4 linked regions of the Drosophila melanogaster genome follow. The protein of the gene in region 3 purifies or fractionates together with the protein of the main gene of each other region. This does not show direct contact. Each region holds a gene or a part of one and is shown on either strand. Other genes may lie near its edges. The genes, in order: Rbf, mip40, Myb and CycA.

What was found.
Region 1: the proteins of Myb (region 3) and Rbf purify together in Drosophila melanogaster (affinity purification with western blotting; 2 studies listed by BioGRID). This does not show direct contact.
Region 2: the proteins of Myb (region 3) and mip40 purify together in Drosophila melanogaster (affinity purification with western blotting; 5 studies listed by BioGRID, with this or other methods). This does not show direct contact.
Region 4: the proteins of Myb (region 3) and CycA purify together in Drosophila melanogaster (affinity purification with western blotting; one study listed by BioGRID). This does not show direct contact.

The regions. Positions count from the first base shown.
Region 1 is NC_004354.4:796,438-805,126, forward strand, and holds Rbf (Retinoblastoma-family protein), read right to left. Parts: upstream 5,043-8,689; 5' UTR 4,349-5,042; coding exon 4,160-4,348; intron 4,081-4,159; coding exon 3,941-4,080; intron 3,880-3,940; coding exon 3,691-3,879; intron 3,629-3,690; coding exon 3,274-3,628; intron 3,211-3,273; coding exon 2,879-3,210; intron 2,577-2,878; coding exon 1,841-2,576; intron 1,706-1,840; coding exon 1,325-1,705; intron 1,256-1,324; coding exon 1,040-1,255; 3' UTR 653-1,039; downstream 1-652. Other genes in the region: CG13359 (uncharacterized protein), read right to left, coding at 5,508-6,989; CG13358 (uncharacterized protein), read right to left, coding at 7,484-7,565, 7,637-8,460.
Region 2 is NT_033778.4:19,290,052-19,295,069, forward strand, and holds mip40 (Myb-interacting protein 40), read right to left. Parts: upstream 2,146-5,018; 5' UTR 2,047-2,145; coding exon 1,243-2,046; 3' UTR 1,054-1,242; downstream 1-1,053. Other genes in the region: Fkbp12 (FK506-binding protein 12kD), read left to right, coding at 138-174, 335-405, 467-685.
Region 3 is NC_004354.4:15,853,243-15,860,369, forward strand, and holds Myb (Myb oncogene-like), read right to left. Parts: upstream 4,582-7,127; 5' UTR 4,435-4,581; exon of another isoform or gene 4,372-4,434; 5' UTR 4,286-4,371; coding exon of another isoform or gene 3,932-4,285; 5' UTR 3,863-3,931; coding exon 2,548-3,862; intron 2,484-2,547; coding exon 1,825-2,483; 3' UTR 1,590-1,824; downstream 1-1,589. Other genes in the region: CG15914 (uncharacterized protein), read left to right, coding at 204-288, 364-646, 700-1,465; CG46440 (uncharacterized protein), read right to left, coding at 3,932-4,285; AlkB, read right to left, coding at 4,956-5,295, 5,358-5,899, 5,951-6,067. UniProt on the Drosophila melanogaster protein: DNA-binding protein that specifically recognizes the sequence 5'-YAAC[GT]G-3'. Component of the DREAM complex, a multiprotein complex that can both act as a transcription activator or repressor depending on the context.
Region 4 is NT_037436.4:11,826,316-11,836,132, forward strand, and holds CycA (cyclin A), read right to left. Parts: upstream 7,264-9,817; 5' UTR 6,754-7,263; coding exon 6,559-6,753; intron 5,932-6,558; coding exon 5,738-5,931; intron 5,668-5,737; coding exon 5,412-5,667; intron 4,530-5,411; exon of another isoform or gene 4,322-4,529; coding exon of another isoform or gene 3,302-4,321; intron 3,246-3,301; coding exon of another isoform or gene 3,120-3,245; exon of another isoform or gene 2,934-3,119; intron 2,875-2,933; exon of another isoform or gene 2,715-2,874; intron 2,370-2,714; coding exon 2,146-2,369; intron 2,078-2,145; coding exon 1,873-2,077; intron 1,803-1,872; coding exon 1,555-1,802; intron 1,491-1,554; coding exon 1,337-1,490; 3' UTR 768-1,336; downstream 1-767. Other genes in the region: CG7264 (uncharacterized protein), read left to right, coding at 3,120-3,245, 3,302-4,321; CG43064 (uncharacterized protein), read right to left, coding at 8,932-9,817. UniProt on the Drosophila melanogaster protein: Essential for the control of the cell cycle at the G2/M (mitosis) transition. Interacts with the Cdk1 and Cdk2 protein kinases to form MPF. G2/M cyclins accumulate steadily during G2 and are abruptly destroyed at mitosis.

The sequences.
Region 1 (8,689 bases), about 15 Mb from region 3:
GTCAGCTGATCAGTCTAATAAGCGCTTTCATAGTGATGCCCGCGTGCCTCTTAATTTCGGCATCCACCCATGTAACAAGGGACTTTCGTGCCTATCTTGCTCATTCGTGACACGAACATCAAGAACAACTCGGCTGCTCATCACTGGTGTGCGCTCTGTTCCGAATTAACGGTTGTGCTGCTTTCCTATTGGTCAATTGGTAACTGGAAAGATCGAAAGGGCTGCCAGCTGCAGCTTGCTAGGGATTCTGTTGGCCTAGTGTCTGGGACCCGACAGTTGTCTGCGAAAAATGTTGCCCCGTCGTAAATTTTGTCAAAAATTTGTGAATTCTCAGTGGCTGAACACCAGGCAAACAAAAATTGCCACATAGGGCAGACATCATAAAGTAACTAACGGTTTCTCCCCATCTTTGGCTTCCTATTGGTCGAATGGGCTGACTGGAAAAGCGTAAGGCGCAGCCATCTTGAAAAGGATCAGCTGTTTTAGTTAATTTGAGCGGCCAGCTAGCACCTGTTACTGTTTCTGTTCGCCTGGTGCCTGAAACTTGTAAAGGTGGCAATTTCGACCAGAGAAATTACGATTTTAAACATCCCATCCTTTGTACGACGACGTAGATCGACTACGAAAATGTTTAAATAAATACAATTAACATCAATTTGTAAAAAGTATATTTGTATATAAGCTTTTATATATAATGTGGATTGCATTAATTTGATTTGTTTTTTTGTTAGTGATTTTTAAATCGCGGGGAGTCGCGACCGATGGATGTGTGTGTGTGTGGTGATCAAGTATTTAGTACAACTATTTCAAAGTATTGGGTTAGCATATGAATTATATGGTTGGCTGGCGTTGAGCAAAATTAAAAGATGTGCTAAAATAGTTTGTTGAAATTAAGTTAAAATGTCAATTTAAGTTTTAATATTTAAAAAAAAACAATCATAAAATAGTCGAACGTGCGCCGGAGGGGCCAGTGTGTGGCCTTCTGCGCCGAATTTTTAGTTCTTGCCTTAAGTCTAGTCTGCCCCCATAAGCCCCGTGTCTATGTCTCGTGTTCTCCTCCTTCGCCCCCTACGCAACCTTCCGTGGTAACAGCAGTCTGCTGCTCGGCTGACTGCAGTTCAGGGTCGTCCATGACGGCCTTGACCTGGCTGATTTTCGAGCGCTTCGTCTCTGCCATTGTACCTAGTCCGGGCTCGTCGCCAAAGCTCAGCATGCGCTTGCCGCCGCGTACCTTTTCGTTCATAGCCTGAAGGTCCTGCGGGTATAGCAAGCGGATTAATCGATGTTATAGCTGAGGAGGTGGACGCAACTCCGAAATATTTACCTTGGCGGGGCTGCGGCAAAAACTGTAGACCATCTGGTTGGGCGACTGCTGTATCTCGTTCTTGGACATCTGCGACACGAACAGCGAGTGGCTCTGGGTTACCTTCTTGGGCTGGGCGGCCCGTTCCTTCGGATGCGGGGAGAGCTGTAGATCCGAAGCCCGGCCACTCACGTCCGGAGTTACGTTTAGGTAGTCGATGACGAACTGCCGCATCAGCGGCACGTAAGTGTGGTTGTAAAAGTGAATGATGTCCTTCACCTTTGGCTCCCCGTCCTCGTTGATGTCGATGAACACCTCGCGGTAGACGCTGTTCACCGCCTGCGGCTGGTTGCGATATGCCCGCATAATGTCACTGAACTTGGGGTCCTCCATTCGCTTTACCTGCGGGTTGTAAGGAGTTGCATGGATGTTATAAGTGGGTCTTCAGCTGCACACGGACGAATGCATCTGATTATGTGCATTTCAAAATGTATGCCAGCGAATCGGACAGAGATAGAATGTGGATGTGCTACTCACTCTTATGTAGATATATATTGCACACATAATATTTTGATCGAGGTGGCGGTCCTTCATCAATTCCGTCTCGTGGGTGATCGAGTGCTCAAAGATGTGCCAGATGCTCTCGGGCGTCTTCTCGCACAGTGACAGCTCCGAGCACAGCTTCTGGATGCGCAACCAGCCAAGCAGGTACACCTTGCGCAGGAATATCTGCAAGGGGCCGGCGGCGCGGTCGAGGTTAACCATGAGCCACGTGGGCAACGGCAGTTGGGCGGAGGCGATCATTTCCCAGACGGTCGAGTTCCTCGCCCAGGCCAGCCGCTCCAGACACGTCTCCTCGATGGAGTTAAGGTGCTTTATCAGCGACCGGTTCAAACAGCCTTCGTGCGAGCCGTGCCGCACCACGATCTCGATGATCTTTTGGAACTCGAACGCGCTAATACTGAAACAGTCGAGCACCCACGGGAACTTGAGCTCCGTTTTGTAGGCCTCCAGCACCAGCTCCACGCAGCAGGCCATCAGCGTGATGTTAAAGATGACCAGGGAGACCTTCTGCACCAGCAGTCGCTTGAGATCGATGTCGGGCTTGTTCCGAATTTCCGCCTGCAGGATCTGGTCGAGCAGGTAGAAGAAGAAGGACTTCGCTAGTTGGAAGCGACTCTTCGCCTCCGTTGACGGGTACTTGGCGAGGAATTTCTGCTCGATCTCCTCGATGATGCTAAGCAGCTTGGCTATTACCTCTTCGCCAGCTTGCCTGGATAAAGACAGGGCGATATCAAAACATGAGCTATAGAAATCAATCCCGGATTTAATCTAATCGATTCTTCTTACATCAACAGAAATTTCTATGGATGTGTGCTTCGGCTAACGAAATTCGATATTCGATATTTCCTACGATTTATAAAGCAATCAAATAAACATGAGTTTTGTTTACACGACGCCAACGACTTTCAGCCATTTGGACATAGAGATAAGCCTTTTCTCTCTCACAGGTTTTGAATGATAGTTAGGAACACTCGACACCCAACCCAAATACAAGGCCAGCCGGCAACTCACTTGACAAAGTCCGTGGGTTCTGTGATCCGTCCGAAGGCGCTCAGCTGCTTCACGTTGTTAGTGGCGTTGCGGACGGGCTCAAATTTATCGCCAGCCATCGCGGGCTGCGCAGGCAGATCTTGCTTGCGGGTAAGCGGAGTAACCGGCGGACGCAGGGACTGGTCGTTGAGGGCAGTGTGTTCCCCCGCATCGTAGGCACTCAGAATGCGTTCGTCGAATTCGCCGACGCTGAGGACGTACTGCTCGTAGCTGATGTTGAGGGACTTTAGGTTGCGCTCGAAGTTTTCGTTAGCCAATAGGCCTAACATAGTGTCCTTGTTGCCGTAGATGGTCTGGTCGAAATGAAAATAGAACAAATTAATTGTTTTAATGGAAATCCGAAACGGCACTCCTACCGAAGCCTGAAAGAAGCTCGACATGATCTGGCGGAAAGTGGTGGCCTTCATGGCTTTAGCCTCCTCGGTCATGTCACAGAAGTTGGACAAAATGCAGTGCGGATTGTGACGAAAGTCCAGCTCCGTCCAGTTGCTCGGCAGGCCCTCGAATTTGGGGTTGATGAGATCGGTGCGCTTCTCGGCCAGCACATTGTTGTATATCAGGTCTATGCAGCAAATCATCAGATTGTAGGATGTCACCAGGTCCACGGTGTTGCTCGGCTTCTGGTTCTTGGCGCAGAGAAACAGGCGCCAGCAGATGTCGTCCAGCTTGATGTACGAGCACTTTCCGTGGGCGTGGTTGCCATGCAGAGAACTGTTCCAAAGAGGGAAGCTTTTTATATACACGGGGTCAGGCTGACATGATGATATACGCACATGTACTTGGAGTGCTTCTTCTCGTTGGGCGGGCACGAGAAGATCATGTCCATAATAATGCGGAAACGCTTGTGCAGCATGAATGTAATGCTGAACTTGCGGTCCAGATCCTCAATCTCGTTGACAAACTCCTGAGGCAGGTTGGCCATGTCGCACCACTGCTTAATTTTGGTCTTGAACTCGTAGATGCTGTGGGTGGGGATTGTGGAAATGGTTAGGTGTGAAACTGCAGGCATAAACGGCAACCCACCTCATCTTGCAGCAGCGCAGCAAATTGTTTAAGGACACACAATTACCCTTGACCACTGCATTCTGGCCAGTCACCGTGGGTGTGCTGGTTCTTCGGCAGGCCGTGTAAATGGCGCAGCACATCCAGTGGCTGGCTGTGCCCTTTTAGGCAGGCAATGCACAGAAAGAATGAAAGAAAGGACGTTAGGTTGGAGGCTACTGCTGCCACTTCGAAGCTCACCTCCATGGAGCACCTCTGGGACACCTCTAAGTACGTCTCGTAGCCCTGCAGCTCTGTCTGCCGATCCATGTTTAGATCCCGGCATAGGTTCGTGTACTCGGCGTTGATCATCTCCAGGCGGTCGTCGCTGGTCGCCACCAATCCGCTGACCACCTCAGCTCCCAGTTCCTGCGGGTCAGGCTCGCTCATGTCTGCGAATGATGTCTCTGTCCCGGCTGATTGCGTATGCTTGCAGCGGCGGCCGCTGCTTCTGGCGACAGCCTGGAGTCGGAAATCGGAGACGGAGGCGCCTGAATTGGAGCTAGCCGGCTAACCGGGGCGTTGCGGGCCTGGCGCCGCTGTTTACGTCTAGTGGCCTGGCGCCTAGTGGCTGCCGGTGTATGCTGCGCTTGCCGCCGCGCTCCTCGCGGACATGTAACTGCGAGAGCTTACACTTAATTACAGAAATAATGAAGTTTCCCGCCGAAATGATTTGGGCGTGTGTGTTTGTGTGCGAGTGTTTGTCGCGTGTGTGTGTGTTCGCGATACACCCTTTTCTGAGGAACACAACAAAAGAGCAGGCGAGGGGACAGAACAAACAGCGCTGGGATGCTGCGATTAGCCAGGACCACACCACGGCCACGGTTGTTGGTTAAAACACATTAACAAAATAACTATTTCACAACTTAATCGCCATGGAAAACGCGGGAAACTTGACTAGTTGCGGCGGGCAGGTGCGTGTGATCCACTCCGCGTTCGAACTATCCACTTCTAGGGCTGCGCGGACGATGTGGCCCTAGGGATGGACTTGTGCAGAAGGAAAACTAATTTATTGCCACTACTTAAAGATTTTGCAATTGCGATTGCATAGTCAGAGTCTGACACGTTAATACAAGTTAATGGATTTTTAGTTGGGCGGCCGGTATTTCGCCAGCAAAGCCATGCGGTCACACCGACGCGCGCATTCGGCCAGTTTAAACGTGGTGGGGTGGTATTACTACAGTGCTTGGCGAGTTATGCAGTGACTGCAAGCAGTATGTCGTGTTGCATACATACCTAAATTGGGGGACCCTAAAATGAATTAGAACGAAATAATTGACAAAAATATGTGTACACATATAATTTATTTGCAATGCACAATGCTATTTGCATGTGTGCGGTAAACTGACAGTGTTGGTTAGCGTTCAAGAGCATTGCACATCGGCGATATAGCTAGTTGTAATCGATAGCCGCAAATTTAAATACTGCTTTGAACTTTATGGAAATTCGCGGGAATTCTTCGCGATTCAGCTACTAACATACATACATATACACTATACAATTTAGAGAACTTGCTGTCGCAGCACATACGACCCGAGCTACGACGTGGCTAACGTAGATACCGTCTTCTGAACCTCCTGGCCAGGAGGTGGAATAGCATGTGTCGCCGCATAAAGGCCGCCGTCAGACCTGCCGCCGTGGACAGCTCGTGGTTTTCTTGAGAATCGCTGGCCAGACTGGAGCTCTCGAAGGAATTGGAGGAATTGAAAGAGTCAGAACTCTCTGCCTGCGTATTCTGATCCGCACCAGTTCTAGCACTTCTCCAAATGGGTGTTGAAGAGCCGTCGGACTTACAGCCACTGGTGTTGGTTCTGGAGTTCGGGATCTGGGTTCTGTCGGGATGCTTCTCCAGCACAAGGCAATGCTGTCTTTTGAACGGTTGACTAGCAGACACACCGTACTTGGCTATCGCGCGGTTGAGCTCAGGATCGGGGATGTATGCACCGCGCGACAAAGACTCCGTTTTTCCGATCGATTTTCTTTTGGAAATATACCCGCTGACATATCTTTTTGGTCTAGAGAAACGTCTCGCGGAGGTTGCCTTCTCAATAGTCAATTTCCTCGCGGAGGTTGCATTGTCAATGGTCAAGTTCCTCGTGGATTTTGCCTTGTCAATAGTCATTTTCCTCGCGGAGGTTGCCTTCTCAATAGTCAATTTCCTCGCGGAGGTTGCATTGTCAATGGTCAAGTTCCTCGTGGATTTTGCCTTGTCAATAGTCATTTTCCTCGCGGAGGTTGCCTTGTCAATAGTCAATTTCCTCGCGGAGGTTGCCTTGTCAATAGTCAATTTCCTCGCGGAGGTTCCCTTGTCAATAGTCAATTTCCTCGCGTTGGTTGCCTTGTCTATAGTCAATGTCCCCGCGGAGGTTGAGTTGTCAATAGTCAATTTCCTAGCGGAGGTTGCCTTGTCAATAGCCAAGATCCTCGCAGAGTTTGCCTTGTCAATAGTCAAGTTCCTCGCAGAATTTGCCTTGTCAATAATCAATTTCCTTCGCTCCGCCTCCTCCGTCTGCAAAGTCTTGTGGTGCACCTCAACGCGATCCACAAGATTCTTGGCCGCCTTCTGATCAGCTAAATTCATCTCTGCACGCACCTTGCGGAGAGCAAGGCAGTCAATGATGCTATGACTCTGCCAAGTGACCTCCAGGTCGGCGGGGATTGGTGTTCCCTCTGACGCCAAGCAGCCCTGACTCGTCATTACTTGTTTCTGGCAAATGTCCATGAACTTGTCTCGCCGGCTAAGCAACGCGTGAGGCGCCAGGTCCACATCCCCCAGTTTCCGGTGATTAAAGTGGGTGATTAGTTTTCCGGTATGCGAATTTACCCCCACGACGGTTGCGACATCGAAGTGCTCTGGACAGCGTATGCGCATCTCGCTGAGCGAGCAGGCCAAATCCAGATTTGACCGGCACCACACTACCATATCCTCCTCGTCGTCCTGTTGCGGCTCGACATAGGGAATTAACCGCTGCAAGTTCGGACGCGGCGTTCCCACGTCGCAGAGGGCATTAAAAGATGCAGAGCATTTCATTTCTAAATATAAAATTTATATTTTTTTGTACAAAAACTTCAGGCCAACTTATAAAACTGTGTGAGGGGAAACTGCATACATATTCGATTGAACTGAATATTCCAATCTTAGGATTCGAAAAATACTATAAATTGTTATGGCTAAATACTCGGGCTGATCGCTATCTTTATATGTACTCTTCAGACTGCTCTTTGTTTTAAAAGCTGAGCGATTTCAGAGGACATACAAATAGATGTACATATATGGCTTCACATGGCCATTGGAGCAGAAAAAGTGCCTACTTCAATTCGAAAGCAGTTAGTATGTCGCTAATCTATGACTGATTGCATATTCTATTTGGACACAAAAAAAAAAAAAAAAATTATTATTCAATAAAAAATAAAATACATAAGCAACAGTGGAAACAGCCTAGCAAGACAGCCTCCTTCAAAAGCTCGATCCTGGTTGGTTCGCCGGAAGGTACTCCGTTTTGGTCAGTCAAGTGATGCACAGGCTCACACCCGCCAGTCGCCGATGATTTGGGAAGAGGGCACCAGCTCGAATCGAGCGTTGGCCAGACTCGGTGGCACACCAAATCTAGAGCAAAAATGGAGGGAAATGAGCCGGCTGCCCAGATGACCACCTCTAGCGCTTTCGTTTCTGCTTACCTGGGACGGAAGAAGGGAGTTGGGTGGCCAGGGAACTTGGGAATGGAAGGCGGAGCAGTCGCCTTGGGCTGGACTTCCGGTTTAATCTGCTGCCTGACAGGGGCAGTGCCCGCATCCACGCTGTCCAGGGTGTTCCTCACCACAAATTGCTGCCTGGGCTGTGAATTGGATTGCGGTCTCGTTCGAGCTCCTGGCATGGGCAAAAAGCGAAAGAGCCGGGTAGAGACGCCGTCATCATCTGTCACGTCATCGGTGGACAAATCATCTCCTCCAGCCCCTCCGACTCCGTTGGCAGACGGAACAGCACTATCAGCTTGTCCACCGGCAAGCGGAGTAAACACGGCAGCCAGACGCACAGGCACAAAGGCTGGGAGCCGCACTGTAATGGGAGTGCCGGAGGGCGGAACAGCCGGTGACGGGATTGCAACGGAGACTGGTATGGGTGTGGGTCGTGGCGGAGGAGGTGGTGGTGGTGGCAGTGGAGGCGGAGGAGGTCTACGTGTGCTGGCATCCGCTGGCGACGCAGTCGTTGTTGTGGCCGATTCCTCCTCGACCTCCTTCCAGGCCTCCAGCAGGGTCAGCAGCTCATCCTTGCTCATGTGGCCGAGACCAACGGGGCTGTAGGGCCACTCGCCCACTCCGAGTCCACTACCAACACTATTCCAGCCTAAAGAGGGCACTTGTTCCACTTGCTCTACGTGACCCAGCGGAGTCTCGAACAGGCTCCTTTGGGGACGTGTGAGGAGCAGCTGCTGACCAGCCAGCCCATTGCACAGGATCTGCATGAGGAGACCCAGGAGCGTCGCACGAACTGACCCGGCCATGACTGACTTTGTATTGTGGAGCCTCTAGGTGGAGCAGTGGCTTATATATACATACCTGCTTTCAACGGAACGAGGAAGGAGGCCAAGCCGAGCAAAACGGAAGCGCACGCATTCCGCTGCGGGTGATCCGATCACACGATGAGAAAATAGGTTGACCGCAGTCCTCGATGGGCTCAGAGTTAATTGAAATGCATTCGATTTAAGATCACAGTACAAGCATTTTAAATAA
Region 2 (5,018 bases), on a different chromosome or scaffold from region 3:
ATTAATCAAATTGATGTGTGCGATAGTTTCCGCTCACCGACCATCGCCCACCGCTAGCTGTCATTCGGCGACGCGACGAACTGAAATCAACGTGCTTATTTTCCGCTCGGTAATTTGCCAGAAAAAAACTAATCGAAATGGGCGTACAAGTAGTTCCAATTGCTCCTGGTGATGGTGAGTATCCAATGATTGGGTTAGAATCCGCAAGAAATGCCGTAAACTACCGGCCTTTCTAACCTATTTAGTGCATTTTCGCAATGCACAATTCGGAAATACCTGCGACAATATGGTCGTCCCGCTCACACACATCCATTTTTGCATTCCCCGCCCGCAGGCAGCACCTATCCCAAGAATGGCCAAAAGGTCACGGTCCACTACACCGGCACCCTGGACGATGGCACCAAGGTGAGTACGAATCCCGATCCTCGCCATCCCCAGCTAATGATCCGCCTTGAATTCCACGCAGTTCGATTCGTCGCGCGACCGCAACAAGCCATTCAAGTTCACCATCGGCAAGGGCGAGGTCATCCGTGGCTGGGATGAGGGAGTTGCCCAGTTGAGCGTCGGCCAGCGCGCCAAGCTGATTTGCTCGCCGGACTATGCCTACGGTAGCCGTGGCCACCCCGGCGTCATTCCGCCCAACTCCACCCTCACCTTCGACGTCGAGCTGCTCAAGGTCGAATAGGCGCACAGGATGCCCAATGTGTATACCCCAAACCAAATCGCAGGGGGTTGCGGACCGGCGCACCGGCGACGAGCCGAAGAACATCATAATCGGAACCAGAACAATCCAGCAGCATTTGCCAACCCAAAATAATAATGATAACTTCATACACAGCTCTAAACTAGAACTAATTTAACCGCAAAGGGAACGCATCTTCTACCAATACAAATAAACATTTATTCAAGTCAATGACAAATGTCTTTCTTATCAAAAATCTTGGGATAATCCAATCAAATCAGCTGCGGTTGCCTTTCCGTGCTGCAATACAAATGCATTTCATATTATTTTTTAATCAGGAAAATATGCAAATATAAAAACGCTTTATCATTCTCTTGATAGACTTGAAGTGGTCTACTTGACAAATTTGATTTTATTTTATATAAGTATATAAAGTGTACAAGCATCTTATTTGCATATATATTCGATTTGGAAACAGGATTTTTTTTAATTCTTTGTGCACAATTAATCCAAATTATTTTTCATTTTCTATACCACTTCCAAAATCACCTAGATACGCTTCAGTTTTTGCAGACCAAGCTCATAATCTTGTCAATAACTTCATATCGCTCCTTTTCATACTTCTTGATATGCTTTATCCAGTGTCCGCGCACTTTCTTCCAGCGGTTCATATTGGAGGACAGAAGATCGGAGGTACTGGCACCTTGGAGAGCCTTTTCCCGCTTCTTGTCCTCCTGGCTGAACTCCAGACGAGGCGGAATTATGGGCAGATCCGTGGACTTGGCCTGCGGGAGCTGGTTGATCACCTTTATCTCGCCGCTTTTAATTTGGGACAGGATTTCTTCGCCGTTGTCCTCACGTTTGGTGGCCGTGAGTGAAGCATCTGTTTGAAATGCACCCACAGCTGGATTCTTGGGTTGATTTGCCATCCATGCGCGGCATATGGGGTACAAAGGAGTCTTATCCTGGTATTTGGACAGGTCCAAACTTCGCTCAAACAGGCGCATTACGTAGGTCTCGCCGGGCGCCTTCTGGGCGACTGCCGCTGCTCCAACGCTCTTCTTGTAGAGCACTCTCCTGGCCTTGATGCGTCCTCCGGCGCCGGCTGCGGCTGCACTCGAGGATGTCGAAGGCTTCTCGCTAGAGCCCGACGTGACCGTCTTGACTTTCGGATCTAGCTTTACCTGGTACTGACGCTGCTGTTGCTGCTGGATGAGCAGCTTCTTCGAGGGACGGCCCCGAATGGGCAAATCCGACTCTGCGTCGTCGTCCGGCGGCAGGTTTGTCGTCTCTGGTTTCTGCTCCTCACGGCGCGACTCCCGCAAGCGCAGGGCCGTTTCCTTCTTTTTCGGCACAGTCTTCATTTCCAGAAATCTTGTATTCGACACGAAAATTAAGGGAAAACAATTTCGAATGCCGAATCGGAAATCAAACGGACTTACGGCGCTTCACAACACTGAAACACCACTTCGCCACGCAACACTACATAAGTCAGTGGTATTTCAAAAAATACCATAAATTAAAGAAAACAAACGGTCTTGGCGCCTAACGCTAGCTTGAGAAATAATTCTTTGAATTATTTGTAGCTTAAATGAAAAGAAAAAAGAATAACATATATATTTTTAAACAAAAACTTAATACACATTAATATTTGACTATTCAAAAATATTTAATAGACTTTGATTGTTAAATTAATACTTTTGTAGATTAAAAAAAAAAAAACAAGGAAATGAAAGTCTTAAAAATTTGGTATTTCTCGATTTGGTAATTTTAACCCAAAACCTTTCGGGCTTTTCAACCCACCTTTTATGGTCACACTGCTGTTTTGTGATCGCGAAAAGAGCGACGTGAAAAATACATTTAATTAAGTTTACTGCGAAAAATAAAATAAATAACTAAATTAAAACAAAGCGGAGCTTTTGCGTGAACTGTGTGTGTAGTTGTGAGTGTGTGAGAAAAGAAAAACGAAAACAAAGCCAACGAGGAAATCGAAGGGGCAAAAGTGGAAAAGATTCAGATTGAAAAGCACCAAAATATCGAAATCACAATTTGAATGTCAAAGAACAAACGACAAAAAGAGCGGAGCAACAAAGGAACATTGGAAAAGTCAAGAATTTAACTTATTCGGTAAGGATGCAAATTGTAAATCTGTGGATTTTGCTTCTTCTGCTCACGCACACATCCACATACAATTGGGAAGTGCACAGGTGTGGGTGGATCTGCTCTGTGTGCAAATAACAAATTGTGAAAAACAACTCGCACACATGCAGATCACCTAGTGCACCAAATAAAAGCAATAAATAAACACATTTCCAAACGGGCAACAAGTTGTGAATGCGTTTTTTAAGGGGGAGGGGCCATACCAAGTTTCCCAACGTTTCACATTTTCAATCGATCTCGGTTGTTTTTATATATGTATGGATATTTTTTATCTACTATTGCGTAGCTGCCAATGTCACCTGTTTTTTGCTCTCTCTCTCTCTCTCTCTTGCGCTCTCTCCCTCCCTCTCGCTCGCACCCACGCTGGCTGTAGCTGGTTTTTATCTTGTGCCGTTAACACAGCCATTACGTGTCTCTTTCGCACTCGCACTGCACATTGGTGTTCGTGTGTCTGTGCAAGACTGCACGTAACTGTATTACCCATTCGTACATGCGTATACGTATTTCCGCCTATTGATAACGGCTGAAACTCCCTCGAAATGGCCGTCTTTTCGAAATATGTAAACGAATCGTTCGGGTACATCCCCCGACCACCACCCACCCACCGCCCACTCAACCCCCTCCAAGCGCTTCTAATCGCAAAGTGCAAATATTGATTTGCTATGTGTGCTTTTAGATTTTCTCCCACTATCAATAACAATAAGCGCTCTCTGTACGTTGTTTTTGCTTCGGTTTGGTTTCGTATTAAGAAAACAAGTTCACAAGTTTTTGCACTTGTTATGCACTGTAAGAAAAACGCAAGTTTTATTCAAGAGCTCCGCATTACCGCATTATATTGCCAATTGTGAAACTTTTATAATATTTATACTAGCAGCTTAGTTTTGTAACTTTCGGAAATAAAAAGTTTTGGTAAAACAAACAAGAAACATTTTATTTATTTTTTTAAGTGTTGATCATTGTTGCTGTTTCGTTTTGTGACTTTGTTTATGTGGCGGTTTTCTTGTAATTGCGGGAATTTCCCGGCATTTCAGCAGTTGAGAGTGCAAATATAAAGCAGAGAGAGAAACCCTCATCTGTTTGTGATTATCTGAATTCTTCTTCCGTATTTAAGCGTTAACTCTGCTTTTGAGCGACAAGGCTGTTAAATATTTTCAGCTATAACACCAAAATTACCCTTTATCTCGCAATATATTAATAAATACAAGTCTCCAAAAGACGTCATAAATTAAAACGCGATTTAAATGACGTTTAAAGCGACTTCTAATTTATGTATGTTTATCACGAACTAAAAATTTAATTACTTTATAAATTTTAAATTCTCAAGATAGTGAGCAACTATGTATGTTTTAAAGAAAAAATTGTTGGAGTTCCACAAAATTTCGTTTGAAAAATTGAGTTTTTATGTACCAAATATGCAAATCAAATGAAACTTAAAAGCTGACTTAGAAATCCTTTTGTTTATATGGGTGAAACTAAATAAATCCTTTTGTTTATGTAAATCACGTTCGATTGTGTGCTTATTCCACGCATTAATAACTGCCTTACTCCATGCACAGAGTACAGCTTTTTTGAATGTCATGCTGATATGACAGAGCTGAAACGCTCTTCTGACATAATAGATTAATACGTATAGACTCATTTTCATAACGTTGGTCCTTCTATTCAAATACTGTATCAGCAAAACTTAAGAATCTTACATCTAAGTGTTTAACCTACTTGAGTAACTACTGTACGGTGTATTCCTGCGATCTCAATGAAAACTTTCCCATCAATTTAAATCTATCTTATCGCCAGCAATTTTGTTGATATTTAGCTTCGGGAAGGGACGAGTTCAGGAAAATATATAGTATATGTGTGTGTACATATGTATGTCCCCTGTTGCGAAGAGACACAAATGTCGCGCGATAACGTGGGCAACCGCAGCACACCTGGTTGGATTTGGACATCGACTAAAAATAACTCCGCTTCGATTATTTTCACAAATTTGAAAAGGCAAATTGCGGCGATTGGAGGGTTCATCACAAGCCTCCAACATCGATAAATGAATACCGTGTATTAGTTATTATTTCAGAGGAGACAGGCGAGGTGTTCCACTTTGATTTTCCATAGCGATCGCTAAGTTCCATTGCCCCTCCGAGTTTGATTCCCATGCCCATATTCAATTCTAGAATTCGGC
Region 3 (7,127 bases):
AGGTTGTGCATTCAAACAGCTGATAAAAACAACACCCTTCATTGTTTATTTTAAACCAATTGGGGTAATTTAATTAGCCTAATTATGTTAAATAAATGTTTTATAAATTGTGTAGTGATCAATTCAAAAATAAACAACATTTAAAATAATTAATATATTTGGTAATTGTCACTCACTCTGGTCACACACCAAGACCGTCTATCATGTCGTGCGCAAAGCCGCATATTTTGATTATTGAACCGTTTTACGGGGGCAGTCACAAACAGCTGATCGGCGCACTGATCGAGGGTACACATATATACATACTTAGAATATTACAACTAGACATACAAACTTCACTCCAACTTATCATCCAATTTGTAGGTCTCAACCATGGCGACAGCGAGATATTCAGCCTTCCCGCCAAGAAATGGCACTGGCGAGCACGCACCTCTGCCCTCCACTTCGCCCAGCTGATTCCGCGCGATCACGCATTCCGGGTGCTTTTCGCCAGCTCCGTGCTCAGCCTGGCCGAGCTGATTGGTCTGCGTCCGGATCTGGCCGCTTGCCGGAAGATCGTCTACTTCCACGAGAACCAGCTGATCTATCCGGTGCGCGAGGTGAAGCAGCGCGATTGTCAATACGGTTTCAATGAGATACTCTCCTGGTAGGTGACCATCCTGTATACCCAACTTGCATCCATAACCCATCCATTTTCAGTCTTGCCGCAGACATGGTGCTCTTCAATTCCCAATTCAACTGCAACTCGTTTTTGGATAATGTTCAGCCCTTTCTGAATATGCAGCCAGACTTTAAAATCAAGCATATTCGCGAGCAAATCGAGAAGAAATGCCAAGTGCTGTACTTTCCCGTCAATTTCGAACGGTTTCCCATTCGGAAGGAGTGCGTAAAGGGGGAGACTGCTGAGGATCTGGATGAGAAGTGCATCCATCTTATTTGGCCACATCGCTGGGAGCACGATAAGAATCCCAAACTACTGGTGGATACGCTCTGTCAGCTCCATGAGCGACAAGTGGACTTCAAGGTGACTATTTGTGGCGAGAGTTACCAGGAGATACCGGAGGAATTCGAGCATATACAGGAGAAACTGGGCAGCAAGCTGGTGAACTTTGGCCATCTGGAGCGTGAAGAGTACTTGAAGACCCTGCTGACTGGGGACATTGTGATATCAACTGCCGACCATGAGTTTTTTGGAGTAGCAATGCTGGAGGCCGCTTTCTGCGGCTGTTATCCCATTGCGCCCAACAAATTGGTCTACCCGGAAATCTACCCAAAGGAAAACCTCTACAACACCTCCAATGCGCTGACGAAGAAGCTCTACAACTTTTGTAGAATGCCGAGGGTCTTTCGCAAGCAGCGCGATCAATTCTTTGAGAACTTTAATTTCGATCGTTTTTCGGCGAAAGAACTAGTGCCAAAATATCTGGACATATTCAATAAACATATTGCAGACGAACAAAGTTAGAAATCGAAGGTTTGGCAAATGTCTATCAAAATATTCTCTGTAATATAATAGATATATTTTTGAATAAATATATCTCTCTTCTGTAACCTACAAAGCCAAAAAAAAACGATATATATATGTAAGTCCTTTGTGTTAAAACACGCTTCATTCACTTTAAGCATTTATTTATTTATGAAATATCCGAAAAAAATGGGATACAATTTAAGGTGGATGTAACCAATAATGCCATAAATGTAGCACAATAAATTCTATTTCGAAAACACAATTTGGATGAAAATTTGGGGATTCATATCTACAATATTATAAAGATGATGCGTATAGAATTTTGTTTGTAATACCTGAATATAGCCACATAGAATTTAGAGCGAACCAAAGCGGTCGAACGAATTCACCAAACACTTTTGTTTCTCGAAGTTCAGGGAGCGCGAAATACAGGACAGATTTTTGAGGCACGCATAAGCCTGCTCCTCCATAAACATTTGATCTCTGGACTTGCCACAAGCGACGCGTGCCCACTTGGGATCAATGACATGATCGTAGGTCAAGCCACCGCGGTACTTGTTAATTCTGCGATTATGGAATGGTCGATTCTCCTTTCTGCCCTCGTCGAACGGCAGGTCCTGTTCGCTGCACAGCGTGTCCTTCAAAATATCGCCCGGCGATGTGAGAAACTTGCTGGGCGTCTCGGTTTCGAAGGGTTGAATCCTCTTGGCGGAGCCAGCGTTGTATGGATGATTGGAGCTCCAAGTTGAGAGCAATGACTTCCTGGCACGTTTCATATGCGGCGGCGACTGAGCATTGTATTCGGTGCTTAGCGTTGAGTTCTGATCGGCGGCGCCCATCATTTTGGAATTGTTTGCGGTCAGCGAGTTGCTCAGATGCTCTTCATGGATGATTTCGGCCAGATCCTCCACCAGACTGGATGGGCTGGAGGGCTCGTATCGACGACCGTCCCTCTTCTTGCCGATGGCAGCAAGTGCCTTTTTGAAGGGCGTTGGTGTTCGTGGTCCAAGTTGACCTACAAATAACGATGATTGTGTGTATTCAAGATGCATTTGAAGCCAACAGTGGCTTGTACTTACTCTTGTGTGGAGTTTCTATCGACGATGTCTCCATTTCCTTTTTGATCTCCATTCCAACGCGATTATAGACCTTGGTTACCGGCGTGCTAGCCCGCAGATCCATATCTTCAAAGGTGGTCAGGCAAGGCGACTTGAGGAAGTGACTCGGTGAAAAGGGTAGCGACTTAATGGGCGATATGACGGGCGAACTCGGTGGTCGCGACCTGGCGTTTCCGGCGGCTTCTTCCTGGTTGAATGTCTCACTTGATGAACATCCTGCCTGATGGTGAGTTTCGGGAATGTGTTTGCGTGTACGCTTCAATATGATCGGTGTTTGGCGCGGCATGGTCAACTTAATGAGATGCTGCATACTGAGGTGTGCCAGATTGGATCCCTTTTGATGATCGTCTTGTGATTCCTGTGCCAGATCACCACCTTTCACGGCAGTAACCGAAGCGCCATCGGCGTTTTCGGATTTATTAACTGCCTCACCACCAGATTCCTTGTTATGTTGCATATTATTCATACACTTGCTGATGCCACCGGACTTGATCAGCGTGATGAGATGGGTTCGCGAACTCTTCAAATCGCTACCAGATGCATTAACCGATCTGCGTTCGACGTCATATTTGCGACGCATTGTTGAATTCCAATGGTTTTTAATGGCGTTATCGGTGCGTCCGGGCAGACGTTTGGCAATCTTTGCCCACTGGTTGCCCAGCTCCAAGTGAGCCTGGTAGATAATCTCGTCCTCCTTTTCGGTCCAGGCCGTTTTCTTGATATTCGGATTGAGGTGGTTGTGCCATCTCTCGCGGCACTGTTTCCCAATTCGTCCGTTCAGATATCGTGCAATTAGTGTCCATTTCTTGGGCCCGAAGTTGCGCACCAGCTTAATAACCATGTCGTCCTCGTCCCGCGTCCACGGGCCCTTGATTAGCTCCGGATTGAGGACTTTGGCCCAACGCTGCTGCACTTGCTGTTCCAGGCGATCCTTGAAATGCGGTCCGATAATCTCCCAGTTCTCACCGTGCGTCTCCACCAGCTGCTTGAGCAACACATCCTCGGACTTGGACCAGCGTTTGCCGAATCCATAGTTCGGATGCACTGCACCGATGCTAGTTTTACCGCTTTTGTTCTGTCCCTTTTGCCCCGTCGTCTTGGAGTCCTGTAGTTCGGGCGAGTCCAGTGGATAGCCCGAATCGGCATTGCTGTTCTGTTGTGAATCCTTGTCGCAAACTTGGGTATCCTCGTTCTCCGAGTACTCGGACTCCTCCGAATCCGAATTGCTGCCGTAATTCATCAGCTCCTCGCCGTTTTCAGTGCTCGCACTTGCCATCTTAAGATCAACTTTATAGGTATATATATATGAATAATGGCGCTCTTTGTATATATGTGTATGGGTTCTTTAACGCTGCTTGCGGGGCGAACAAAAGTGATAGATCTCCGGCTCTGACTTGTTCCCACGCTGGAAACGATGAACGTCGCGTTTGCAGTACAAGCACTTGGGCAAATGATCCAGAATATGCGGATGGTAGAATATGTAGTGCGAGCAAATGTCGCTGTACGAGTTACACTTGAATTGATTTCCGCACGTCAGGCAGTCGACCAGTTCACGTTGATGATCGCTGCGCAATATTGGGTGCGTCGCATCGCTCTCGGTCCGCCCAAAATCGAATAGTTTTGTTTGCTGCTCCTCGAGGCGATTTTGGTTTGGATTCGTGTTCTTTGTTACTTGAAGATTACAGATATTTGTGGACATACTCATTCAGGCAGCGAACTAAAAAGCAGATGCAAGTTTTACGATATTACGTTTATGCCAAACATTTTGATGCTCTATATTTAGCACTGAGGAAAACGGGGGAAAAAAATTACCACTCGCACATTTGTCTTCATCTAAAGTGGTGCTACCGTTATTTCAAATTCAAACTGCTGGGCTATGGGTACACACTTTGGTGTTTTTGATCAGTTCATTCACGTTTTCACACTGGAATTTTACGGCGTCGCATCTTATTATATTAAATGTAGTACTTAGTGTGACCGTTACACGAGCACTAGCGTTGTAATTCAAAACGATTAAAATCTATCGATAAATAATCACTACGGTAATCGGCACGTTTCCACTAGAAGTCAATATCTTGTACGATAGCTGGGATAGTATCGATATTTAGCTATCAACTTCTTGGAAATATTGTTAAAAAGTTGCCATCGGATAAAATAATTTTGTCAGAATTGCCAAATTTAGTTGTCAGTAGCATTTATAGGGACTGAAAAATATATTTATAAAACTATTAACTTCACCTATACATTTAAGATATTTCCATTGAACGCATCACTTCAACGTTAATTGCTATGTTTCTTTAGTTTTCAATTGAAATGCAGTTTTTTATTTTGTAAAATACTATAAAATTAAAAATTTTTCCAAGGAGGGGTTAAAGCTTAACATCTCCTGGATTTAAAACTTGACGTATATTAATATTAATACGTGAATCGTCCATATATCTCGAAAAAGGCTCCCAAAATTGAGGGTTGCCAACATCATGAAATAAATCTTTATCAATTGTACGCGTTTTAATATCTGCATTATCGACATCTTCAATTATCAGTGATAAAGTCGCGGAAGCCTGAGTTTTGATGATACGAGGAACTGCGTGATAGCATAGACGCGATTCTCCGGACATTATCATAACGTCCCCGGATTGAAGGTAGATAGCGGTTGGCTTTTCTTCTAAAGATCTTCCACCAATTAGAAATATTGCAGTCTGACCAAAACTGTAAGCATAAAATTAAAAAAAAATTAGCTGCACGGATATGTTTAATCCGTGATATATTACCTAAAAGAAAACAAAGGGGCCGATTTGTTTGGTTCAGAGTGATCTGTGTGACCCGATAACGTACTACCAACTGGATAGTAATTTACAATTGCGGCTTCTGGCTTAAAATCCGCGTATCCCAACGCTTGCGCAAACAATCCGCATAGACTGCTCAAATCTTCGGGAAACGGCGACTGCATCTCCTCATCATAGATCTTCGTGTCCCAGTTGTGATGATATCCAAATGTCGTCCAACGCATCGCGGATTTTATACGTTGGAACTCAACGCCATCGCTGCACAGATTAAGCTGTTTCCACCAGTCCGACCTGACGGATTCATCGAAGAGCCTTTCATTTAAATTGACTATATTTGGCGTTCGCGGAAAATCCCGCAGACATCGGGCGCTCCAATAACGCCGGCCTCGTTCCGAGAATGGATTCCGAATCACAATAATGCCGGGATGGTTAGTTAATGTATAGGTTCGCCAATCTTTTGGCGATTTAACGCCTGGCATTGTCTGTAGGCTTTCTACATTGCTGATACTTAATCGTTGAACAATATTCTGAGGGGAATGTAGAAATCATAATTCAATTGCAACGGATCGAGTACTTACATTATCACTCTTTTCTTGATCATTCCCCTTGACTACACAATCATCGATCTTAACAACTTCCGTTAAATCAGGACTGGTACTTTTGCACTTGTACTGCTTAAAAACTAGCTTGAACATGCTTCATAAACAATAAGTACAATATAAACAATAAGTTAATATAAACGATAGCAATAGTGTGACTGCGTTTGGAGAAATCTTAAATGCTTTTGAGCACGTTTAGAAATCAGACATGTGGTGGAAATACTATGGGATAGATATAAAAATTAAAAATGAATGCAATTCATAAGAGACATTGCCGAAAAAGCTCGAATGTCCTTTTCATGGAAAAAATTTTAAGCCTTTTTTCATGAGGTGATTCATTTGTGATTAATCTTATCGATATAAAGTTATCGATATATGAACGGGACTTTTAACTATTTTGAAATATTTTTGTTGTTTTGAGACCGATTTTTTCATTGTTTACGTTTTTGCAGTGATCGTTTTCATTATTTCGGTCGAAGATACGTCTTAAGGGTTGCACAGGAAAAAATCAAGTGGGAACATTACACTTCAGAGCGATAATAGATCTTTATTTTTTATATTTTTATGAATTAATATTAAAAAAGGAGTTGAAATAAGAAAATGGTATATTTATATGACATATTTATATATTTATATATGTTGTAGTTATTTTACTTTCATGTGAGGGGGCGTGCTTAATACTATATTCGGTTCAAAAGAAAGGGGTACCACATTGTTTATATAAAATAAAATATGTTTTTAAAATATAACGTCTTTTGACAAATAAACTTTGAATAAATAAAGACAAGTTGGTATATTTGCCGGCTCTCTCCGTCCGCAGTGTGAACAGCCTGGCTGCCGAATATGTATCAATGCTATCGATATCCGCATACATCGATACTGCTTCCTTGCACCCTTAATTTGTTTCTAGGTGTTGGCTGCCAATTGTAGAGTGCAAATGAAAAGTTACAGATTGGTGGCTTCGTTAACAAAATTTTCAGTTATTTGTGTAGTTGAAGACGGGAATTTGTTTTGCGTATAAAAAGTTAACACTGCGTGTAAGTAACGTATTGTCGTCATCAACAAACTGTCCAGTGAATGAAAATTGAAAGAAAAATTACTGATCTATGGTAATGTGTGTGTATGTGCTAAAAGGAAAAAAAAATTTTTCATACTC
Region 4 (9,817 bases), on a different chromosome or scaffold from region 3:
GAAGTGTTTCCGATAAAGTATATACATATATTATTGGTCAGGATCAATAGCCGAGTTGATCTAACCATGTCCACGTCGAGATCTCAGAAACTATAAGAGCTAGAAGGTTTTCTAATAATAATAATGACCACTCAGACTCCCTTACTTGTGGCACAGGTACGGAGCCAAAAACCGCATCTCCACCATTCTTTGCCAATCGGAGTCTCCCTTGGCCAGCTCCCGCATGTACTTGTGACGCAGCTATAAAAAATCAAATGGTTAGAGCGGCTATGGTTAATAATTCTTTCAAAAATGTAATGTATACAATTGAAATAACGAATATTACTTCTGGGTTTATTTATTTATTTTGTTTGACCCAACGACGTGACACACAAATAATGGTACAAGTACAACCACCTCTTTTGCTTGCATCTTTCAAAGTTTTATTGAATTCTTAATATTGGATATTTAGGTAATATTCGGCTGGCGAGCACAAAACACTCGATGCGATGGTCAATGGAATTATCAAACTAAATGGATTAGTTAGCATAAACCTAAGTGTAAAGTAAGACCCATCATCTGGCTGTACGCATTTCGGCAGCGCTCTATTCTAGCTACATATGTGGTCGCAAGATGGTCTAGACTAAGTTTAGTAAACATTTAGTAAGCGTATAAGATTACAAGATTACAAGAACAAGAGTTTAGCAACATTCCACGGCTGCCTGCCGTTCTGAGCACGATCAGTGTGAGTTTTTTATTCCGTCCTGGCTGGGCGGTTGGTGTCTTTTGTTAAAATTGTGTATATATTTGTTTTGGAGTTCACAGAACATTTACGGAGTAAATAGTAATATATAAATATGGTAAAATAATTCTCGAAGCTAGCTGTTTCTGCTTTAGACACATTGTATACGTTAGTATGGTTCAATTTATAAACACGAAAACATACATACTTAACATAAAGAGGTTGAAATATAAAATATCGTTAGCATAAGCAGCACTAATATGTTGTGTCCGGTGGCTTCCTCCAATTTCAATTGGCTAATCGGATAGTTTTTAAGACTGCCGAAGTTCTTACTGCTCCCGCTTGGCATGACAAGCTCTCACCGTGGACAGACGCGAATGTTGTTAAGCGCGTATATTTTGGCAACTATCTTTTATATGGCTTACATATAAAATTGTCCGGCACTTGCAACGGGAGCTTGTCAATCGGCCAACCAATGCGAAGCTTTTATACGACTGGCTGACTGCGACCGAACTGCAATTGATCCATTGTGTACACTTATAACTAAAACTACATAATGTTACATGGAAACACTAAACTAATATACAATTTGGCCATGACAGCGGCTCAAAACACTTAAAACTTATAAAACAAATTCACGTTCGATTTAGTATTAATATCCGGCTGCTGGTGCTCATCCTCTTTCTGCTTGCAATTGTAAGCCTCACAGAGCTGATCGAAGTCGTCCTTGCTCATCTCAACGGATTCCATCATAGCCACCTTCTTGTAACTGTTAAGAAATACATTTGGTCAACACGGGCTCATTCTTCGGCTATCTAGTGTTTGCGACTTACGTGTCTCTATTGTACTTTTCCCGCATGGCCTGCGTGTTGAGCTCCTTTGCCGTTTTGTGGGTGTGACACAGATGCAACACAACCGTTTTTAGGTCCTCCAGCTTGTAAGTCGTGATCTCCTCCAGCCTTGGCGTCCACATCTCCATGCCCAAAATGTGACGCGCCAGTGCGACTGAAGCGGATGACATAAGTGATGGCAAATATTGCAAGTACGTTTCTCCCTCCATGAGCGACAACTCGGAAATATACTGTGTCAGGTAAACATTAAGTTAAGTTTCGGCTTTGTTTCTTTTTTCTTTTGTATTGGCAATAGCTTACCAGCGTCATGTACTTCAGCTTCTCAGGCATGTCGCAAAGTACAGCATAGGTGTTGATGAAGACGTAAGCAGTCGGTGTGCACAGATCGAAGGAGAGAATCTTCAAGATAACCTGCTCCATGCGTAGCACCTGCGCCTTGGTGTAACTGTCGTCGGTGAGGAAGACAAACTCACCGACCTCTGGGGGATAGATTTCCTCGTATTTTCTGAAAAATAAAAAAATAAACCCCATGAATACACACACCATTATTACCGGACTATCAAGAATACTTACGCGGCAATATACATAGCTGCCGTGCCCACCAGCTGTAACTTGGAGCGCACCACCGCCATTTGGCTCAAAAATCGATCTAGATAAAAGACCGAGAGATAGAGCGTCTCCGTGTCCAGTTTGTACTCCTCGGAAACCTCAACCAGCCAATCAATAAGGATGGAGCGCATATTGTGGCTAATGTCCTTCTGTCTGCGCATATAGAGTGGCTTGGGGCGATGTTTCTTCTGGAAGATGCAAACACATGCAAACAAATGATTAGAAACCGATTAGATTACCCGGCCTAACAAAAATTACTAAGCCAAACTTTTAATACTTTAGGTTAGGATTCGCATATATATAGCTTATGCCTTTTCTACACTCTAATCTGGCAACCAACTACCCGTTCCCAGTTTCATCTTAAGAAGGTGTCAAAAATGTACAAATTTCACGGGAGAAAAAGCCGTACAGTCATCAAATCAAGCGTATAAATACCATAGGAGAAGTGGCAAACAACAGCTGGGGGAGGGAGTTAACCGATTTTTATTTATTTATTGGTTATTTCGTAGTACGTGAGTCGCATCGAAATTCCCAGTTCGAACTTAAATTTCTTTGCCAAACACCTACATATATGTACATATATATGGGCAATATGTACATTAGGTGATTATTTTATGGTCGCTTTAACGATTATTGGAACCGTCAAGCGACTCGAGCTGCAAAAATTAAAGAATTCGATTGACATGAATATATGTACATACATCAGCATTTGTTTTATATTAAGGCAGTTAACTCCCATGAAATTATTATAGATATATGTAAATAGTCTGTAACTAGTAGGTTACAGAGGTAGTAGTAGAGGCAAACAATAAACAAAGCACCCAGCAACCGGGCAAACAAAGTCAACTCAGGCATATATCCACATCCTACTAACAAGAAGAGACAGACATATCGACCTCGAATACAGTTGAACATCTTTTATAACTAACTCCGGCACAATGACGCTCAAAATCGGTATATGCACCAAGCAGGATCTCGACGAGGCGATGAAGCTGCAGAAGCGGGAGCAGTACGAAGATGAGCGGAAGCGGCGCATTTTTAATGCCAAACAGCGTCTTTACGGGGTAAGTATGCATCTGCAGACTGGGTGAGCTTCATTGCCGAATATTCCTATTCACAGCTCGACCTAGAAATGCTGGATCGCCAAATACTTGAGAAAAAGAAGCAGCGAACCGCCCAGATGGAGTGCGACAAGAAATTTGAAGAACAGGAGCAGCTGCAGAAGCGTCTGATCCTGGCCCAGGAAATGGAGTTGGAGAAAAAACAGCGTGTGGTGGACTCGGATCTTAACTATTATCGCTGCCGCTATCAGCGCAAGGAGCAGCGCCGCGAATTCGACCTAAATGATCCGAATTTCTTGAAGAAGGCACGTCCAACAAGAGTCGCCGACAATGACATTTCGCTGGGCGTGTCCAGTGCCCAGATCTTTCAAGGCGAGGACCTCTATAACTCTGACAGAAAGCAGCGGCAGCGGGAGCAGCAAAGAGCCTGGCTGGATCAGCAAGTGCAGGAGCGTAAGAGGGCGGAGGATGCTCGCAAGCAGGCCGATAATGTGTTGATGGACAACGTTGGTTGCAGAGACAAGCATCTGCAGGAGATGGCCAAGTCTGATCACCAGATGCGCAACCAAGTCATCCAGCGAGTGCGTCAGTTCAATATCAACATGGCCAAGCAGAAGCAATTGGACCGCGAAAGGGAAAAGCGTGAAAAGTACGAGGATGACATGGCCGAGATCTATAACATGCTCTCCAGCGATATGCTAACTGAAAATCCGGATGTGGCTCAATCGCGCACCGATCCGAACAAGAAGATTGCCTTCATGTATCGCGGCATGACGCCCGAAGAACTTCGCGTGTTTCGTCTTGGACAAGATCAGCAGCTTCGTTTGTCTATTCAGCGCAAGACGGAGGCCCAGATGATGGACAAACAGTGGGAGCAATACTCCATTAATATGGACCGCACCCTGGTCCTTCACCAAATCGAGGATGATCGCCGACGTAAGGCGGAATTCGATGAGCTGATGCGGGCGAATTCCAAGTTGGCCGTGGAGCAGGATCGCCAGCGCAAGGAAGCCCTTGTGGGCCTAACCAATGCCGTCTCCGATGACTTTTACGATCAGTTCAACAAGAACTCACGTTAGTGGGATTGTATTGAAGTTCCCAACCAAGACGATTCGAGAATAATGAGCTGGATGCGATTAGAAAGCTGCCTCACTTTCTTGTGCAGCAACTTTCCATAGGCGTCCAGAACATTGTACTATTTTAAAAATACAATCTTTGTTGGGAATCTTCACGACGAAATTATAATGTTCATGTTGGAAACAAAGCATTTCAAATATTTAAAAATTTAAAAAAAAAAAAAGACAAAAACCCATCTCTAGTAAAAACTGAAATATCAAGGGAAAATAAAGAATACGCCCATTCTGGACAAAACCTAATCCTTGTGTTGTTGTTTTGTATTATTTAATGTTGTTTTCGAGTTTTGTAATTTAACTATCGATTTTAAAATATTTTTAAATTTTTTTTATTTGTTTTGGTTTTCTAGTTTTTTAAATTCTTTATCAATTTTAAAACTTTTTTGGTTTTAATTTTTTTTTTAGTTTTTAAACTTATTTTAATTTTTAATCTTTTATTTACTAACGTAGGAAACAAACTACAATAGTAGTCAACCTCCCTCTGCAAGTCGAATTCCATTGGTACCCCGAGTGTTCTACGACTTTGGACGAATGAGAAAAAGAGAGTCAACAACAACGACAAAGGATGAGACGGACGCAGACAGACAAGCGTTTCGCTTCCCGCCCAACAAACATGTGCCCGCGAGCGGGAATAAGTGTACCCATGAACCCATAAAGAGGCAGCGTTGCGTGAAGGGAATGCCAACGGAGGGTGCGACAGGGTCCGACTTCCCCTAAGAAATTACGTCTGCCTGCGTCTGCACAGAAAAGTACAATGCACATGGCCAAGTAAGTAGTAACACATTGAAAACGCAAGATACCTTGGGAAAAAATTCCAAATTTATGCCAGAAAACATGACTGCAATACCCTGGAAGATAATCAAGGAAAACTCGACCTGATAAAAGTTGTCCACTTCAGTTACTAGTTAAAAAATATCATTGTCTTTGACAATGATTACGCGATGAAAGCGAGTTTGTGAGTTTGAAATATTTTTGTGAGGAAGTCATCTAATAATATCATATTGAAGCCTATGTTTATGTCCCTGGTTTAGCTTACCTCGCTCTCCCGGAAATATTCCAGAATGTCCATCTGGTACTGAACCACTTCCAGGAACCGCTGGCGATCGTTGCGCGGCGGAAGCTCCTTGACTCTTCCAGTTGGCGAGACTCCCGTTTCAGTGCCCACGCTGATATCACTGGACTGTATGACACCGAGAATGGAGCGGTCCACGGACATGGGGGACTGAACATCCGTCACGGACATGGGTGTTGAATCCAGATCGTAGTCTACCAGCTCCTTCTGCCCAGCACCGCTGAATGGAGTGAAAAAAAAAACAAACAAAAGTTTGTTTGCGGCTTACCAAGTGACAGATGGAAACTTACAATTTCACGTCATGGTTCTCTTTGTCGACTAGGGAGGCCAGGGATTTGCCGGATGGCGCAACCTGGGTATCGTTGTTGTCCTCATACACGGAGAAGGTCTTGAATTGCTCCACCACGGGCACCACATTCGATTTCTTGGCGCCGTACTCCACATTCTCATCAACATTAAGATTTCTGACGTCACGGAAGACCTGCTGGAAGGAACAGAAGACGAAGAAGACAAATTCAACAATATGGTCAACTTACTATATTAGGTAATAATTTTATATTAGGTAATATTGCAGTGGGATTATAAAAGTAAAAACACAAAGATAATTCCTTTTACATATGCATCCTTAATATAGTAAGCAAAAAAGAAATAAAATGATTATCCCCCCCCATAAATCGATCCAACTTTAAGTTGCGCGCCTTTCCCTGGCTTCCCGTATTGCTCGTGTGTGTGTGTATGTGTGCACCTATACGCATGTGTGCGTTGCATGTCGCAATTGCTTTTGCCCTCCTTGCTTCGCTTTGTTGTTGCAAATCATCAAAAAGGCGCGTAATTGCAAGGCCTGTGTCTTTTTCTAGGTTAGTTAAGGTTCTAGGTTAGGCGCAAGTAAGTGCATTGGTCGTTCTAAGAAGAGAGTAACGTAAGATGGAGAAGTGAAAAGGATGGGATGGTAGGGGAGAGGTAAGGGAGAGAAAACCACCACCACCACTAGGAGATCTCACACATGCGCACGGTCGCAGTGGTGTGACGATCCCACCACCATAAAAATATAAAAAGGCAGCTGCATTGGAATTAGGCACTGGATGTACGGGAAATCGGCAACGGTACTTACAACTTTCCCGGCCGGACGCGGCACATTGTTGTTGCCATTGAGCACGGCGAAATTGGCCCGCGGCGCAAGCGCATTTTTCTCCGCTTTTCCCCCAATTACGGCCAGCGGCTGCTTGGTGTTCTTCACTCCGGCCGGAATCTTAATGCCCGGATTCTCCTTGTTGCTCATGTCTTGGTGGATCTGGAAACTGGCCATGGTGCGCTCTTTCCTACTCCTTTTTTCGCCTTGTAAAATGGAGTCCGATTATGCTCTGCTCTTCCCTTCCTTCTCTCTTTCTCTTAGCGTCGTTGCCTTCTTGCTGTTGTTGTTACTGCTGCTGCCGTTGTTGTTGTTTTGTGCTGCTTTCTTATGCTCGACGCTCACACCGATACGCACACATTCACAGGCTCATATGCTCAACGAAGACGCAGACATGTGTACATTAGGCGCAGGCAAATTTTATCATCGACAAATTGACGCTTGAATTACACGCACACACACAGTTTTGTACAGAATTCATTTGACTTTCAATTTCGTACGGAAGTTTGTGTCACGGCAGCGTTGGAATTAGTTTCCTTGTTTGGCTACGCTCGCACGGACTTAGCTAATATTAAGTATTTTACAAACTCCGTACTTGTTCAGCGGTTCGTGGTTTAAAAGCAATTGCTGGCTTCTTTTGATTTTTTCCCGGTCAACACGTCGTAAATGTTAGAGATGACACTGTCCAGCTATCGATAGGTCGTGGCGTCTATCGACATTTGCCGACAGTGTGGCCATATATGTCAGAAGTTTGTTTTTTAGGACTGGCAACTCCAGCAGTGCGCAAAATTTAAAAATGTGTATAACGTTAATTTTTATTTTTGCCGAAGTCCATTGTTTTTGCATAGTTTTTAAAAATGAGTGCATATTTATTTAGTTCTAAGCTTTAGAGATCAAACCAATAATACATATTAAAGGTTTATAAAAAGGGTTTGGAATAAGTTCTTCATGGGTTTGTAAGCATTGTTTTGAAGTTAATCGAATATATATGTATTATATCCATATATATAATCCATATATTATGTCCACGGTAATCGCTTAAGTTGTTATTACTGTTGCTTTGATTAAGATTAAGAATTCACTGCAAAGCGAACTTGACAAAAATCAATTAAACAACTGTTTATCAAAATATAATTAAATAGAAAGCGTAATGTTTTTGATGAAATGTTTAAATAATCGACGTATTAGGACACTTGGAAAAATGTTTAGGTTACAATTAAAAAAAATGGCTAGGCTTTTGGACTTTCGGTCTCGAGTGGCTCCAAAAATCGTTTCTGTCCCAGAAATAAATCGAAACAGGAAAAAAAACTTTTCCCCTTTTCGAAAGTCCTTTCAAACAAAGTGGCCGCTCGAAGTTTTGAACAAATTATGAACTGCATGCAACAGAAAGTACACAATTAACAACAACCACCGCGTTAAATTTAAGAGCAGCAACTCTCTAATTAACTTTTTAAAGAGCTTTATTTCGGCTACTGCGATTATTATTATTTGGCTGTCAGTGGAAAACCCAAAAAAAGTTAAGCGAAACTTTTTCTTTTCAATACGCCTAACGATGCTACCCATTTATAAAAAATATGTTAGTGTAAATACAAAAGTATATATATTTATCAATTCGGATGACTTTCACGATTAGAAAGATATAACGAAATACGCCATACGTCTTCCCTATGAATTTCTAATGGGAGGGGCTGTGAGATATTTATAGAAAATACAAATATAACATTCATTATAATAAATAATAGGTGAATTTGTTAACAGTTATGGTAATTGTTTTGATTTCTAATCTTCTTAAAAAATATGTATCCTGATTTCTTAACCCTTTTAAGTTTAAGAATATAACAACATAACGTGGTGGCTTAAATATTTGTCATAACTATTAAATATGTATTGTTTTTGACTTAATTCAGCATTGTACATACATGTATGTATGTATGACTCTTGCCACGATTATTTTGTGAACGGAAGAGTATGTTTTCTAGAGCAGCTGCGCCTCCCTAAGAAAATAAAGAAAAGGTGTATCGGATTTTGCATTGTTTTGCACGAGACATTTCGCAACTGCCGGCCTAAAAACTAAATCAGTTAGGAACCCAAAGAAGTACGAACACAATGAGCTAACCAACATTCTGATCCTGCACACAAATGCTGACCTTTGCGATCTCGATGTCCTGGAGACCAGGTAGCAGGACAACCGACTAGCAGTTACACAATTGTATAATATCGTTGGCCCCAGCAGCTCTGGAAATATACATAAAATACCTTACAGGGTCAAATAATAATTACCAATATAGTAAGGCAATATTTGGCGAAAGTCAAACGTTTTTTTATTAACTAACAAAAAATGCTGTTCGTTTGTAATTAATCTAATTCATTAGTATCTTTGTTCATCAATATGGGACTCTTTAAATAGCCGTTAATGAACTGAATGTTCCTCTTGCCCTTCGGAACCGGAAGATTAAGGCTCCAATCAACAGATGATTCGTGCAAATAGATTTTAATTTTTCTGTGACTGTACAAACTTAAAGCTTTTAACACAAATTCAAAGGTGATTTCCCTGGCAAACCGGACACTAAGTACGTTTAAAAGAGCACATTCTTCCAGAAGCGCAAGCAACTCATCGTTGCTAACATATAACATTTTCACGTCCAAGATTTCTAAATGCTTTAGACGTAGAAAACTTCTTGCTGCATCTGTTTTGCATGAGACAAACAGCTCCCGAAGTGAAGATATCTCGCAGATAGCATCTACTTCTTCCAGTTTCAGGGTATTTCCCATCAAAATTAGACTTTCCAACGGAGTGCCCGGTTTTTGAATGAGTTTCTCGATGAAACTTTTCGAGATAAATTTATTGTCCCGATACCACAACTGCAAGTGTTTCAATTTGGGAAGCTGGTGGACAGTATCGTAGGGTACATTTCCTTCCAAAAGTATTAACGAAAAGGCGAGACTTTCCAGATTTTTTCCCCTTCTCACAATTACCCGAAAGTCTTCCGCTTCGAGATTGGCGGTGTTTTCACCCATGTTAAGGTGGCACAACTTCTTCATTGTCATACAGCACGAGGCCAAAATGCTCGCATCAAATCCACGCTGGTTGCCAATCTCCAGGTACTCCAATTTATCTAGGGCACGTAGTCCGTCGCCCGTGTAGGATGTCGCCTCCAATTTCAATTTCTTCAGGTGCGGCAAATCGCTTAGGCTGATTATAAAATCCTTATAAAGACCTTCATCCGTGAAGTGCAGGCTA